2 linked regions of the Bombyx mori genome follow. The protein of the gene in region 2 interacts with the protein of the main gene of each other region in a pairwise test. Links are inferred from orthologs where the notes say so. Each region holds a gene or a part of one and is shown on either strand. Other genes may lie near its edges.

Region 1 (4,072 bases), on a different chromosome or scaffold from region 2:
TGTTTTCATTATGACTTATAAAAACGATATTGAAAATAAATTAAAACAAACTAAATGTAATAGCGTAATTTTAAATAAGATTTTTTTTACCATCGCACCGCCCGCCACCGGAGTAGAGTTCATCCATACTACCTGGAGCCACTGCGGTCATCCACAGTGCGTTTCCAGAGATCTTTTTGCCACGTACCATCCGGCTATGGAATGAGCTCCCCTCCACGGTGTTTCCCGAGCGCTATGACATGTCCTTCTTCAAACGAGGCTTGTGGAGAGTATTAAGCGGTAGGCAGCGGCTTGGCTCTGACCTTGGCATTGCTAAAGTCCATGGGCGACGGTAACCACTCACCATCAGGTGGGCCGTATGCTCGTCTGCCTACAAAGGCAATAAAAAAAAATTTAAAAAAAAAGAATCAAATCATGGTGATACTATTAATTTACATTTTTTCTTTCAGATACAATTTACAGATGACATTACTGGATCCAGAAGCTGTCGATCACCCACAACCATGCTCATGTCACATGACTAAATGCATACTGATTAAAGCATTCATGGAGTCCCATTAAACATCAATCTGTTTTTTATAAATTAAATAAAATGAAATCAGAATCATGTATGTTACAAGTTTTATTTTAAAATCATTAATTTATAATACATTTGGCATTCATTACATAAATACACATGGTGACAATAAGGTGTAAGAATTCAATCCATTATAAAACTAAACATCTGATACTTACGCAATTATTTTAAGTTGAAACTTAAAAATATGGGTTCATTCTCTTTAGAAATTAATTCAGATATCAAAATGTTAATGAGTCAAAAGCATAATACTCTATAAAATCATTCGAATTTCTACAATCTAATAAATATCATAAAGCTTGTTAATAACGGATTCTCCAAAAACCGTATCACATGAAAATTTAACCCTCCTACTACCGGGAGGCGTGTTTCCATTTCCGTGTTCACTATGACGCAGTACTGCCATAAACACGCACTGATTTGTCGCGCTAACAGCCTTTACAAACTCTTGTTAAATTCAGAGTGCGCCTCCTCCAATCGCGCACAGGTTTGCAATGCCAAATGCTCTTCTAAACACGTGTTCAAGGCGACACGGGACTAAGCCATGAAGTTCGCGTATGACAATACCTACTTTGTGAAAGAGAAAACTGATCTGTCTGTATGGTGCTGGGGGTCGATTTTTTAAACATATTTGCGCTGTAGAAAGGAAACATGAAACTGTACTTAGGTACCGCATCGCTACATTTAAATGACTATGATCGTCAACAATTTGCGAAATCAGCTCTGGGTGACCAGTTTTCACTGTCATTCCTTAAAGATATTACGGCTGAACCAAGCACAAATAATGAATACAGCCAACTCTGACTCAGATCCAGATAGCTCCATTACACCAAATGTTGCTATACCAGATACTTTTGAACTTCCAATAAATCGAGCTGAAAACGGTATAACTATCAACAATGAAAACTTTGACTGTGCTGTTCAAAATATTAAAGTTCAGTGGCAAAGAATTACTGATATCTTGGAAAATGATTCAAATGCTGCATATACAAACATTCTTACAACTCTTACTTATTCTTACTCCATCGAGTATTATGTCATTTGTAGTTGAAAATTTTTTCGATGAAAATCTCGAAAAATTCATGTACAACCAAAATCGATCGCTCGCCGCAAAGAAAGAGATCTGCTATGCAGTGGAAAAATTCGATTCGAGAACGACCAGCCAAGTCAGAAACTGAAAAGAAAAGGTGTTCATAATATTGTATCTACTCGTAATATTGATAATGAGCCTCCTGCTAAAAAAAAATATTTTATAAAATGACTTCTTTATTTTTGTTTATGTTACTACTTACGTTGATTGCCTACAATACAATACCAAACTTGCCCATTAATTAAAATTCCTTCAAACAAACACGGATTTGTCTCGCTTAATCAATGCGCATACTCCTTGTAAACCCGTGCGCAATTGTTTTTTTTTTCTTCTAACTATGCTGATAGCCTTGAGAGGCTATTTCAGCTTCTCCTTGACGCGTAGGTGAGCTCACGGTGCTCAAACCGGAGTGTTGCTAACACTGGCCCTAGCAAGAGTTTTTTTTTTTCCTACGTAAGCTGGTAGCCTTGAGAGGCTATTCCAGCGTAACCTTAACTAGTAGGTGAGCTCACGGGGCTCAAACCTGACGACGTTGCTAACACGAACCCTAGCAAGAGCCGTGCTTCGCTCAATCTACCACCGGATCGGAAACGCGACCCATTCGACCCACGAGAAGATCCGGCGAGAAACTCGGTGGGCTGTGTCTGAGGGTTAATTTACTCGTCGAGCCCTTCTTCGCAAGCGACGGGTTCCACAAGAACGATGACCGGTGCTTGAGGTACCTAAAAGCACCGTTAGTGGATCGGGAGGATCCGAGATGACGTGCTTGGGGCGACGTTGACTGCTTTCCATTCTCTCCGCAGGATCGGGAATGTAGTTACCGGCGGCCACGATGAGAGGGTTCTCGTGTCGTGCCGCTTTATCGAAGTGGTAGCAAGAGCAGTGCCTCGCAGAATCTACTACCGGATCGGAAACGCGACTCACTGAGAAGATCCGGCGAGAAACTCAGTGGCATGTGTCTATGGGTTAATTTACTCGTACTTGCAACGAAGGGCTCTCCGTTCGTCGCAAGCGACGGGTTCGGCGAGGACGTTGACCGGTGCTTGTAGTATGTACCTAAAAGCACCGTTAATGGGTCGGGAGGATCCGTAATGACGTGTTTAGAGCGACGTCGACTGTTTACCATTACCATACCTAAACACGTAATTACGAATCCTTCAGGACGGGCGCTTTAAATTGAACACGGATTTGTCAGGGCGGTTAGCGCGATAAACCCGTGCGTCTTTCATGGCAGTACTGTCTCATAGTGAACACGGAAATGGGAATACGCTACCGGGAGTCATCTTTGTGGAATATTGGAGATAAACCCTTATGTAAAAAAACCTCTACTCTTTCGTTTGATAGGTAAACCGATTTCTCACTTATAAAGAAATGCTCACCGTGACATGCGAAATAGATACTGTATTAACCTCACCTTGTTTTCTTTATAATAAAACACTAAGTTTTCTTAACTCCTGCTAAAACAAGTGAAGCACGAATGAGTTTAAAAAAAGCTCTAAGAGGTAAAGAGTTAACGAAAAACTGCAAACGAATCCAACTAAACTTACCGTTCCGATGTTGAGAGTGGTGAGTAAACCCTCATCAGTATCTTAACATGTTCGTTACAGATTGCGTTAACTGCGCCTCTCTACTGAGCCACCGGTTGTAGTCGAGTCTCATCAGAAGTCTCGCTAAGTAAACGCCGCACGGACGATCTCGTAGCGAAACTAGAAGTTGCATTAGTTGCTTCACTAATTTGTTGAACCTAGAAAGTATATTAATTAAGGATCGCGGCACTGAGACGTGGTCGCTCACAATAGGCCCTATGAGAAGGCTCAAGGTCACCCAAAGAGCAATGGAGAGGGCTCTATGCTCGGAATTTCCCCGGATCAAATCAGAAATGAGGAGATTTGCTGGAAAACCATGGTAACCGACATAGGCCAAAGGATTGCGAAATTGAAGTGGCAGTGGGCAGGACACATTGCTCGTAGAACGGATGGCCGTTGGGGCCAGAACGAACTCTGTCTCCTGGTTATCTGGACGTCGACAAATTAGGACTTGAAGGTCGCCACCCGTCCTAAGGCATGAGGTCGAAGCCTCAAATGTATAGCGCATGTCCCACCCTTCGAATCGGAGCGCATGACGGTTACGTGGCAAAAACAGGAAGAATTGTTTTGAATTGTTGTGAAATGCACACTGAAATTTTACTGTGGACAAAATACATGCATGCCTTTTTTTCTTCAATTTTGTCTATGTACACTATTCTAATCTAATCTATACTAATATTATAAAGCTGAAGAGTTTGTTTATTTGAACGTGCTAATCTCGGGAACTACTGGTTCGATTTGAAAAATTCTTTCAGTTTTAGATAGCCCATTTATCGAGGAAGGCTATATAACAGCACACTAAGACTAATACAAGCGGAG
Region 2 (3,826 bases):
TTGACGTTCAACAACTATGTAGTTTTATTTATGTTGAATAATTTTTTTTTTATTTGATTTGATTTGAACGACCCACTTTTTTTTCGGGCAGGGTTCGAACCTCCTATGAGGTCTAGGAGGTATGTGGAACTTGACGGTCTGCAGATGTTGAGAGCAGACCGCGGGCCCAATGATGTTTTAGGGCCCTACCCATCAAACGACTCTCGTTGCACTCTCTCACCCGACGTCCGATCTCAGCCCGAGTTTAGAACCCAGGCAGAGTAGGAGGGTTCCCGCGGTCATCACTACAACCAGACTCGCGGCGTCACCCCTAGGACGCTCGATCGACGGGTCGGAATATTCAAAGACTCTACGTCGGCCGTCTCGGTACGGCAGCCGGACAGGCCGCTCCAGGCGATGCCGCTGGTGTTCCGGAATACCCAAGTGATCACCTGAGCTCATAGACGTCACAAGGAGCATGTCGCCACCCACTTAAGCTTTGAGACATGAGTTCTAACCACCAGAGTCCGCGGTTCTACGGTATATACGTCCAGCTAACTGCTACTTCAATTTCCCTTCTTTTCTTATATAATCAATAAATTGTAAATGCTTATAAAATTTTAAAAATATACGTTTATATATATATAGGGCGGCGGAATAACGAGAAATGGATATCACTTTATTTTTTTTTTATTTTTTACACAAAAAACAACAACATAATCACTTTTACATCTATCACCAAACACACTAATCTCCTTTTTTTCTGACTACCTACTAATTTTGAATGCCAATCTACAATTTTGGGTTGCCAGAATTTAAATTAAATTAAATTCTAAAAAAATACTCCACACGGCCGTCCTGGTTAATCATCTGACCCAGATGAATAATTTTCTTCAAACAAATGTTAAAAAGTGAGTTCGCTGTACCTGAAATCGAAACAGTTCTCCGCTCCTAACGTTGTTATCAACAGTGCCACCGAAGATGTACAAGGCGTCGCCCACGACAGCGCCCGCGTGGAACAGTCGCCCTGATGGTACTTGCGAATCGGGAGCCGGATTTACAACTGACCTGGTAATGTATTCAGTTATATTTACTAACGAAGAAATAGAGGTCACGGACTGCTATGGATATATCAATGCGGGACCACGTCACTGGACATCACTGTTAAAATTATCATTGCAACCGCAGCGTGCGTAAGACCAACAGTGCCAAATTTAAAACAAAGGTAATTTCTTGGAACCTGTAGCAGTGAGATGGTGATAGACATTGAAATAATTTTATGACTAATTGGTTCCCTGTCTGTGGAACCGTAAATTACTCATTAATTGAAGTAATTTACGTGAAAATGACTGATATTACTGAGATGCCTTAGATTGATTATGATATTTCAAGCGGTATTCAGCATCGGAATTGATTGTTAGTAAATATAAATTGACTTCCAAAATATTGGGGTCTTCAAGGTACAGCTTTGATCGCAAGTGGAGTACAAGTGTCACATCTGAATCTTTCGTTTTTTTTATTATTTAAGTATGGTAATTATTTTTTGCAATACCATTGTTGCCAGTTTCGAGTTTAAAAAATCTTCAATGATTAAATACATACATATTCTGTTATATGAAAAATTATATGAAGAGAAATGTTAGAAAATGAAATAAAGTCTGGTTGTTTACTGAGGCTTTTTCAGTGAACTTTTTTGGTGAACTCGAGAAGCTGTAGCCAAGAGGTTTGTTTCATTTTTACAGATACTAAATTTTATTACATATTTAAACCTGAAAACATACTCAAAATTAACACACGAATTAACATTCGACCCAACTTCACTCCTTGCGTTCCCGCCAAAGAGTCCATCTGAATTTTTAAAAGATATGCAAAGGTTTGTCTATTGCCTGGCATATAATTTAACACGTTGACTGCCATGTAGGTCACCGGTGTCCTACGCAGCCCACTAAAGTAATGTCGATTTTTGTTACTAAAGCGCCTGGATTGCCTAACTTTGCCTCCTTTTGTTTGTTAATGTATCTTCGGATTTGTCTCTCATAGAGTCTACTAGATATTCCAGTGCCTTGGTAAGAAGATCCAAGAGGGAAATCGACTTAATTACTTCACTTGACTACATGGCAGTAAATGTGTTAATCAGCAAATACAATCGTTGTTCTGATACAATACGGATGGGACTTACCAAATCTGCGTATCGAGATCGTAACAGTGCAAATCGGCGGGCAACGTGTTATCGGCTGCCCCCCCAAACACGTACAGATGTCGCCCGTGCGCCGCCATTACGTGCCCGTAGCGCCGCGCCGGGGCCGGCCCCGCACACCTCAGCAGATGCTCCGTACACACCCTGGTCCAACTAAAAAATCGTACAAATTTTATTAGCAGCAAAGACACGTGCGTAATGTTGAATAGACTTCGAATGAAAAAAGTTTTTTTTTGGCTTAGATGGTTGGACGGGCTGTGAGCTGGTGTTAAGTGGTTACTGGAACCCATAGACATCTACAACGTAAATGCGCCACCCACCTTGAGATATAAGTTCTAAGGTCTCAAGTATAGTTACAACGGCTGCCCCGCCCTTCAAACCGAAACGCATTACTGCTTCACGGCAGAAATAGGCAGGGTGGTGGTACCTACCCGCGCGGACTCACAAGAGGTCCTACCACCAGTCAGAATTATTGGTTTTCTTAATCCGTATGGACACATTGGTGTCAACGATTGGTGGGTTTGGCCATTAGTTAACAAATGCTTTGTTAATGACGTTCGTAATAACTTTCATGGTATTGGGATTTAAGCAACTTTTTATCTGTGTAGACTTATAAAAAAAAAAAAGGATTGTAGGTGCTCAAAGGTCCAAGTCATTCTTTTAAGCTGGCCTTAGTATTTGAGTTGCTACTATTAGACAGAATACGTTCACTTTTATATCAGTACAATCAACAGTCAAAGTTTACTGACAAGTAGTGCCATAGTGTTTTTAGTCGGACTTCATCAAATTTGAAAAAAATATTGCATTATGATACGGGGTCACAGCTTATATGGGCTACTGAAGTCATTAAGCATCACAACGTGGAAGCTGCTACCCAACTTGAAAAAGGGGTCTAAGTCTCAATTATATTACGTAACGGCGGTCCCGCCTGAAAAACCAGAATGTATCATTGCTTATAATATGCAATATGGCACATCACCAACCACTAAACTATTATAGTATTATAGTTTTTGCCCGCGACTCCGTCAGCGTGGAATAGTTACTTTGGCATAATGCTAAATTTTACCCCCTACTTCATTTGCGTAGAAAGTGAAAATATTTTTGAATTATAGAATGTTAAGGAGCTATTTAAACCGCTATTTTGAAACATTATATATTGGTGCTCCACTTGTATTGGTCTTACCGTGATGTTATATAGCCTATAGCCTTCCTCAATAAATGGGCTATCTAACACTGAAATAATTTATCAAATCGGATCAGTTGTTCCTGAGATTTGCACGTTCAAACAAACAAACAAACTCTTCAGCTTTATAATATTAGTATAGATATAGTGTTATTAAAATACTATGGGCTATGTAATAAAAAAAATTGCATTTTAAATTTAACTTACATGCGACTTTCAAAGTCGAATTGGAAAAGGGCATTGGTAATCTTAGCACCACTTTGTCCGCTGAATACAAACATCTTCCCTCGAGCAACAGCCACAGGAAAGTTGCAACATGTAGGAGGGCATTCACCTTTCTGTTCTACTTTTTCCCATTGATGAGTTTCTCCCTAGACATGAATCAACTGTGAATACATTCAACCAATCATTTGCATCATTGAACATTGCCATAGAAATTCATGATTTGAATTTCCAAATTTTTATAT

The links.
Region 1: the proteins of leucine-zipper-like transcriptional regulator 1 (region 2) and gamma-tubulin complex component 4 interact in binary tests that used the Homo sapiens proteins (3 or more experiments, as listed by UniProt). The link is inferred for Bombyx mori from reciprocal best matches to the Homo sapiens genes LZTR1 and TUBGCP4.

What each region holds. Positions count from the first base shown.
Region 1 is NC_085125.1:5,636,411-5,640,482, reverse strand, and holds the end of gamma-tubulin complex component 4, read right to left. Parts: intron 3,412-4,072; coding exon 3,249-3,411; 3' UTR 3,215-3,248; intron 3,125-3,214; exon of another isoform or gene 1,843-3,124; intron 1,752-1,842; 3' UTR 608-1,751; downstream 1-607. Other genes in the region: uncharacterized protein LOC101745013, read left to right, coding at 450-561. UniProt on the Homo sapiens protein: Component of the gamma-tubulin ring complex (gTuRC) which mediates microtubule nucleation.
Region 2 is NC_085122.1:8,838,489-8,842,314, forward strand, and holds part of leucine-zipper-like transcriptional regulator 1, read right to left. Parts: intron 3,731-3,826; coding exon 3,567-3,730; intron 2,330-3,566; coding exon 2,159-2,329; intron 1,048-2,158; coding exon 906-1,047; intron 1-905. UniProt on the Homo sapiens protein: Substrate-specific adapter of a BCR (BTB-CUL3-RBX1) E3 ubiquitin-protein ligase complex that mediates ubiquitination of Ras (K-Ras/KRAS, N-Ras/NRAS and H-Ras/HRAS).